2 linked regions of the Bombyx mori genome follow. The protein of the gene in region 1 purifies or fractionates together with the protein of each later gene. This does not show direct contact. Links are inferred from orthologs where the notes say so. Each region holds a gene or a part of one and is shown in the gene's direction. Other genes may lie near its edges.

Region 1 (4,209 bases):
ATGCGAAAGCTTTTGATTGTCAGCGATCAGCATTTTGATCTCTTGTTCGACGATTGTTTGGTTGTTCTGGAATCGAAAGGTCAAAAGGTCAATTTTACTAGCAATTAAGACTTTATTTGCTGTTCTTTGGAGACGAGAATCGAAGCCTCCTTGTCTTCTGTAACTAGTGCTAGAGGACAACATTTTTGAATGCAGTTACTGTAATAAACGTCATGAGAATTATAATCGGCAACAGTTTATTTCATCCATTTTTTTTATAGCCTTTGTAGGCAGACGAGCATACGGCCTACCCGTTGATGAGTGGTTGCCGTCACCCATGGACTTCAGCAATGCCAGGGGCAGAGCCAAGCTGCTGCCTACTGTTGAGTACTCTCCACAAGCCTCGTTTGAAGAAGGGCATGTCATAGCGCTCGGGAAACACCGTGGAGGGGAGATCATTCCAAAGCCGGTTGGTACGTGACAAAAAGATCTCTGACACGCATCTAGCATGAACTCCAAATTAACATGAATGTTTCTTTGTAAATCAGTGATTGGGGGAAGCGTTTTGATTACTTCCTCACATGAATGAACCAGTTATTGGAATACTTGTAACACATAAGTAAGTATATAGGATGAGTATACTACTAACGTCTACTAACACCACCAATTAAACTGCAGGATATCCGGATTTTCTCAGTGGGTCGCGTTTTCGATCCGGCGGTAGATTCTGCGAAGCACTGCTCTTGCTAGGGCCAGTGTTAACAAACACCTCCGGTTTGAGCACCGAGAGCATAGGTAGAAAAAAAACACATTATATCCGAAATTCCCATGAGGTTGAAACCTTAAAGCGGTATCATTTACCTCCATTGTGGTGTCGCTTTTGGCCAGCGTGGTGGCCTCTTCGCCGAACTACTGCTACATTACTAAAAAATGCTGCTGGAATTGGAAAAATATAAATAGAATGTAAATACGGTACCTACCCTATAGAACTCCACTTCTGTTTGGAGAGCACTTATTTCTGTATTATCCATAATTCAATTATATTCCTGAATAGTCATATTATATTATTACCTAAAAATCAATTTAAAATATGCATCTATGTTCTAACTTAATGTCACTTTCGTTTAGTTTGTTTACATTTTCCCGCTTAGTGCTGATATACCGTTGCCTAGCAACTGATATTATGTTCAGAAATATTTTCGGAATTGTGACTACCAATTACATTTTTACTTGTCATTATTCTTTTCGGTAGGTCGTTGAAAAGTAAAAATAGTCGAAAATAAAAAAATTACAACTATTAGAGATCAAAACTAGGTAGTCAATTTTGTCTTATTTACGAATACAAGATACCATCTTAATGTTTTTGGACGAAACATGTTTGTCTAAACGTCAATTCAATATTGATGTTTTCGCAAAAATGGGAAATTCGCGAAATTGCGTTTTTCCGCGAAATGAAAATTCCAGAAATTTAAGTGAACATAAGTCTATAGTAAATTAAAAATTTTCATCAATCAATAAAATCAAATTAGAGAAAATGACAAGGTTTAACATTTATGTGCTCAATATAGTTTTTTATTTTAATGAATCGTGACTTTCTGAAAAGAATATAAACCAACATTGTTTTTTTTTAGTCTGTACTTCGATATAAGCCAAGAGCAATGGCCAATAGTATATGATGACAAATACAATGTTTCGGTTTTTGGTCTCGAGAAGTTTCATGTATTTGACGCTAAAAAGTGGCGGAATATTGTTCAGGTAGAGTATAAGTTATAGCTCACTAAAACGGTATTATTGAGTTTAGCAATCTCTTACAGATAACGATAAGCATGGGCAGGGTAATCTAGGATGTGTGAAGGACATGAACATGGTAGGTAACTGGCCATTAGCTGATAGCTAGCTTATTGATTATTTAAATTCCAGAATGGTCAACAACAACAAAAAAATCAGTGCTATTTGAGATTTTATGAAAAAAGACTAGAGACTAGAAAGTTAAAATTTCTATTTAATTCTAGCTATCTAAGTTTAATGAATGAATTCAGGCAGAAATATGCACGATGATGTAGTGAGGAACAATGCAGGGAGGCATCAGAAAATGCGTATTTATAAACATTTATTAGAAATTACAATTTTAAAACAATATGAACAGTATCTAAATTGCTTTGAATTAAACATGGCAGTTGGAAATCTGTGGGTATTTATTATAAAGTTTGAAAGAAAGTTGAGATCATTTACATAAACAAAATAGTGATGATAAAAAAAATAAGCTAAATATAATTAACAACTGAATTAATAATCTGCTATCTTTGTGAATGATCCAATTAAATTACAATTAAAGACAATTAAAGAAATATTGAAAACTGAATAACGAATAATGTTATGTCTCACCTCTTTGTCTAGTATTTAAGGAATGCACAACTTATAACGGATGAACGCCTAGTGAAGCCAAAAGAAGCCCAGAAGAGTGATTTGCTTGTTGTCCATACAAAGCGGTATCTCAAATCTTTGAATGTAAGTAAAGCATTACCTTTTTTTTGCTTAAATGAAGCCGGATTCTAATTAATTAATAAAGCTGTTGTTTGCTAAACTGCAAACACATTTCCTGTCAATTCCATGTTTTATGTGTGAAATTGTGATTTCAAAAATTTGGAAAATAATATCTAAATAATTTTTTTAATTCCAGTGGAGCGCAAGAGTGGCTATAATCGCAGAAGTACCACTTGTATCTTTATTACCAAATTTCCTGGTTCAATACGCTTATTTAAAGCCGATGAGGTAAATAAATAGTTATGTAAAATGTGGTAGTAATAATATTGGTTGATATACAGTGCCTTAATAAGTTTTAACATTGTATATAAATTCAAAAAGAGTAGAAAGCATGATCTGTGATTACACTTTCCAAATTTTATATTTTAAAATGTAATTGTGTATAATGATTTACAAATAGCTATCCTATAAAATGAATTAAAATATGTTTTATTTATTATTCAACACATAACATTCGACATGGTGGTTTCACAGTATGCTTAGTGCATATAGTATAGTGGTATTTAAAGTAATGGTAGTATATTTCCAATTTGATTAAAGGTTACAAACAGGTGGTTCAGTTCTTTGTGGTAAGCTGGCATTGGAGCGTGGGTGGGCTATCAATGTGGGTGGTGGCTTCCACCACTGCAGTGCTCAAAAAGGCGAAGGTTTCTGTCCGTATGCTGACATAACGCTGCTGATACGGTTCCTCATGATGAATAACTTAATAGAGACTGCTATGATTGTCGATTTGGATGCTCATCAGGTAAGATTATTGATATTTTTTCTCAATATAGAGACTGCAAGATTAAAATGAATACATCTGTGGTGGGTAGCCATTATACAATACAAAGATATTTGACAGATGCCTGAATCTTGTCTATTACGACATTTTCAAGATAAGCTTTCATTTATACAAGTTTGCCTACGTTTGCCGCTAGGGGCGCTGCCCCAACTCCATACAAATTTGAGTTAACTTTTACGCAATCGAGAACGTTAATAAACTTGCACTAAGCACATGGATCTGCACACACAACCACTGTGATGGAGAGTGTCCGGACTATGTCTATGGGCTAATTTCCTCGTAGAGGCCTTCGTCGATGATTCGATGATTGAGGTACCTAAAAGCACCGTTAATGGATCGGGAGGATCCGTAATGACGTGAACCTTCGGTTTGTTGATATAGGTAATAAAACGATTAAAAAATTGGGCTGCCTCATTTATATCCACACAAAGGTTCCGGACGTAGGATCTTCTTCTGTCTCCCGGGGTGCAATATTAATGTTGTATTTCAGGGAAATGGTTACGAAAAGGATTTCCTGGGTGTTCCCGAAGTATACATAATGGATATGTACAATAGAAATATTTTCCCGAAAGACAAAGAAGCGAAGAAGGCGATACGAAGGAAAGTGGAACTCGGGAATCTGGTTGAGGACATGGAATATATGCTGAAATTGCGATTGTGAGTTGTTGATGAACTAGACGTGCCCCGCGGTACCGCCTGCGTTGGATTTGTTATTCGGCACGAATTAAACAGCGTCTGTTATTGCGGGATATAAGATTACTCGTCTCACTTTCCGTTCCGTAATCTAGCAATCGATTGAGATTTTTTTCTATTGCATACATGTGTGGACGAGCTCACAGCCCACCTGGTGTTAAGTGGTTACTGGAGCCCATAGACATCTACGACGTAAATGCGTCACCCAG
Region 2 (4,053 bases), on another chromosome or scaffold:
AACGTGAATTTTAGTTTTGTTAAAATAAGTAAAATTGGCAAAGGCACAAAATTATTCTAAATAAATGGGACTGTGAAGCACAATTGTAATTTGTAACGTTTTATACCTGAATTGGAAATTTAGGAAATAAATTATTGTCAACAGTGGTAACATTGTTTTATTTAAGGCCCTAATCATACAGTGTATTTTGAAGGCGCAGACGATGCGCGCTTTAGAACGCGCGTTTTCGGCGCCGCGCCGTAGATGCTGTTTGTTGCGTTTGCACTAATAGTACAAACGTACGTATGAAGCTCGTTTACGCGCCTTTGACACAATACAAATGCACGTTCAAAAGGGAGTAGGAGGAGCCAATCCAATTCCATTTCCAGATTCGCCTATTTTTTCTTAAAAGTATTACCAAATACAACGTAGGCAATGTCTCAACCGACTCCATTGTTCAACTGGATTCAGGGAATCTCTGATTAACACACGGAAGCTACGAGCGACTATAGCACGTTTATATGGTTGCGCGTATTTGTGCAGTGGAAGCGCGTTTCACAATGGCCCCGTGTGCTTAGGTTACAAGGTTGCGTTCGAATCTCGAAGTGCGTATACGCGAGTCATCTGCGCGTCCTCTGCTCATAAAAAATACGCTGTGTGCTTAAGCTCTAAGAGTTGGAATAATAAAGTACCAGACCGCAATTTACCTGCTTTCGCTTGGATTTGGTCGCCTTGTTAGCATTAGTTGTTGATGTTTGACTACTGATGGGGTGGTTTGAGTTGAACCAACCAGTAATTCTACCCGACTTGTGTATCTTTCAAAATGTAGTGTATCTGTTCTTAGGTTATATATAATCTTACTCTATGGTCTGTTCAAAATATATCATTGATTTGCGGTAGAAATAGCCAAGATGATCGGTTTAAAGGATCCTATGTCATCTGTAATTAAAAATTTTTGAAGATTTTCGGGATTAATTGATCTTTCTTTTTGTTGTGACTCCTCTTAAAAGTCACCTGTGAACTTATAGTTGGTGTTTAAACAAAAAGAAATAAGCTTAAAAAAATTCAGTACGATAAAATCGACTAAGCTATGAAAATTAACCACAGTTCTAATTCAACATCTCTAAAAATGCTAAGCTAATCATTAGTGTCAAGACTGTCAAGTGTCACCATAAAGTTGTTTATAACCAAACAAAATAATTAACAATATTTATAACCAGCAAATCAGTCAGTTACGATTTTTATTTGTAACAGCGTAATTAATGATGAGTTATTTTGGTTAAGCTTAATTTATACGTAACAGTAAAATGTCAGACGATGAGGTTATAAAGTTTGAGATCACAGACTACGATTTGGATAATGAATTCAACCCCGGCCGTGGAAGAAAAGCTAACAAGGAACAACAAATATACGGTAAGTTACGTTTAAATACAAACAATCTAATTAAAACTCCAGAATATTCTAGGTGGTGCCACTACATTCAAAACATTGTTGTGTGATAGCTATGATAATTATAAAAATTCTAAAGTTTATAAAATGAGTTATTATAAGTTTCGTATTTTATAAAGCATCAAATGGTAGAGCTTCAACGTACCAAATTTTTTTCAATTCCGTAAATAATTCCCATTAGATTTGTATGTAATTTCAAGAAACATGCTCTGTCCGCCCATGATAATAAACAAAATATACCATGATCATTATAGTTTATTATAATAAACTAGTAAATTACTGTTTTATCATGAATGTGTGCATGAGTTTGAATAAAAATTTGATATTGTGCATGAAAAAATTTAACTAATTTAAGAAACAAGTAGGCAGCTGTTTTGATCTCTCACTTGAAAGAAGATAGCATTATAAAATATTCTAAGCAGATCACTTATGATATAGTTTCTAGTTTTTGTTTGATAAGCACTTCCATAATTAAGTCTCACATCTAAAACATACTTAAAACAGTAAACATTCTTATTTTAAAACCATCAAAGCGTAGCTAAAATAGCCCCTTAGGATACCAGCGATCAGGGAGGGAAAATGTGTTAGTTGTTTATAAGTATGAAATCTAATAACGTGTTCAATTAACCATTTAAACTCATATGTTCCAATGTCTAAATGTTTCTGGGATTATGACGACTGAGAGTTCATTTACACCACAAATATCTTATTGACTTGATTAAAATTAGAAAAAAAATTAATTAAAAATCTATGAAGCTTTCATGCATTGTTTTAAATGAGAATAGCTAATTGTAACAAAAGCAATAATATAATTAACTTATAGGTGTATGGGCCAAAGACAGTGATGATGATGAAAATGAAGATAATGTTAGACAGAGAATACGTAAACCTAAAGATTTTTCTGCACCAATTGGTTTCGTGGCGGGTGGAGTTCAACAGGCTGGCAAAAAAAAAGACAAGACTAAAGGTAACAAATACATATTCACTTAATTTTTCAATTTGAAAACTTAATAAAGTCATTTAAAGTGATTTAAGTATGGTATTTTATCAGTCTTCATGAACCGTAGACATAAATAAAATCACTTTTATAACCAAGTTATCAGTGACCACACTGTAACTATACAAAAAATATGAGACAACATTTTTATTCCAGTTGTACAATACTGACTACCCTCCACGTTGTTTCCTGAGCGCTATGACATGTCCTTCTTCAAACAAGGCTTCTGGAGAGTACTTAACAGTAGGCAGCGGTTTTGTCCTGCCCTTGGCATTGCTGAAATCTATGGGTGATGGTAACCACTCACCATCAGGTGGGCCGTATGCTCATTAGCCCACAGGGGCAATAAAAAAAATGCCAAAAAGGTACCTTCCGACTTGACTTGGCTGTTCCATTGCTTCATGATTGAAGCATAAACTGAAGGCTCCACCATTCTTTAATGTTATGTGATTTTCAATACTAAAAAAATGCATGTCGTGGAATCAGTTCATGTCAACAAAAGTAATTTTTAATAATTTGACAGAAATAAAACCAGCTGAAGCGTCTACTTCTGCTCCTAAGTACTCAGACAGTTCTGATGAGGAACCAGAGGTTCCAGTAGCGAGTGACACGGCGGGAATCAGGAGACAGGGACAGGGAATGCGTCCACCATCATTAGGTGGAAATGTGGGAAATTGGGAAAAACATACTAAAGGAATCGGAGCAAAATTGTTGTTGCAGGTAATTAATTAGCTATTGCTCTTTGATCCTGAATGAATGAGCTATAAGCCACTGCAACGTTAAAGTTCATTCGTATTGTTTGACAAGTCCGTTGAGTATTCGTTAAAACGCATAAGCGGTATACGATTTTTTGCAGTACAAACGACATTCGAATGGTTCTATATACAACGTATGTGCCGCTATTCATTCGTTAAGACGTATACTGCAAATAAACGTGCAGAACAATGCCGTAAACCCAGCCTAAGGGGCTATTTCAACTACGCCCAGCAGGAAGCGGCCGATAATTTATATAATTAGTTCTTAGCCCTCATTTGCATCTAGCCTTCTCACTCTTACGAATTTTTATAATTCATTAATTTAATAAACGTTCCACATTTTTGGAAATACGTGAGTTTTGATTAATATAATTTCTTTCTTACAGATGGGATACCAACCGGGTAAAGGTTTGGGTAAAGATTTGCAAGGTATCTCAGCGCCGGTCGAGGCTACGCTGCGCAAAGGCAGAGGTGCGATCGGAGCTTACGGACCAGAAAAGGCAACGGTGAGTTTCACAATGCACGTCATTAGAGTTTAATGAATACAAAAAAAATGTATTTGCAGTTGTACGGATCGCAACTTAAAACTTGCAATTTTTTTTCCTACCTATGCTGATAGGCTTGAGAGGCTATTTCAGCTTCACCCTAACGTGTAGATGAGCTCACGGGGCTCAAACCGGAGTGTTGCTAACACTGGGCCTAGCAAGAGCAGTGCCAGTGCTTCGCAGAATCTACCACCGGATCGGAAACGCGATCCACTGAGAGCATCCGTTGACTGCCCCGTAGTCTATATTAGGGCGGTGCCAAAATTATTAATCACTGGTATTTAGCATATAGAAGAAAAAAAACCCATTAACGGTGCTTTTAGGTACC

What was found. Proteins that work in one complex are often made in the same cells at the same time.
Region 2: the proteins of histone deacetylase 11 (region 1) and STIP purify together in Homo sapiens (co-immunoprecipitation; 3 studies listed by BioGRID and IntAct, counting the BioPlex papers as one, with this or other methods). This does not show direct contact. The link is inferred for Bombyx mori from reciprocal best matches to the Homo sapiens genes HDAC11 and TFIP11.

The regions. Positions count from the first base shown.
Region 1 is NC_085120.1:9,518,339-9,522,547, reverse strand, and holds the start of histone deacetylase 11, read left to right. Parts: upstream 1-1,362; 5' UTR 1,363-1,513; coding exon 1,514-1,521; intron 1,522-1,610; coding exon 1,611-1,734; exon of another isoform or gene 1,735-1,837; coding exon of another isoform or gene 1,838-1,846; intron 1,847-2,376; coding exon 2,377-2,487; intron 2,488-2,659; coding exon 2,660-2,751; intron 2,752-3,063; coding exon 3,064-3,268; intron 3,269-3,797; coding exon 3,798-3,964; intron 3,965-4,209. Other genes in the region: dynein regulatory complex subunit 4, read right to left, coding at 1-66, 960-1,010. UniProt on the Homo sapiens protein: Responsible for the deacetylation of lysine residues on the N-terminal part of the core histones (H2A, H2B, H3 and H4).
Region 2 is NC_085113.1:9,626,019-9,630,071, forward strand, and holds the start of STIP (septin and tuftelin interacting protein), read left to right. Parts: upstream 1-1,234; 5' UTR 1,235-1,286; coding exon 1,287-1,392; intron 1,393-2,251; coding exon 2,252-2,395; intron 2,396-2,927; coding exon 2,928-3,145; intron 3,146-3,566; coding exon 3,567-3,686; intron 3,687-4,053. UniProt on the Homo sapiens protein: Involved in pre-mRNA splicing, specifically in spliceosome disassembly during late-stage splicing events. Intron turnover seems to proceed through reactions in two lariat-intron associated complexes termed Intron Large (IL) and Intron Small (IS).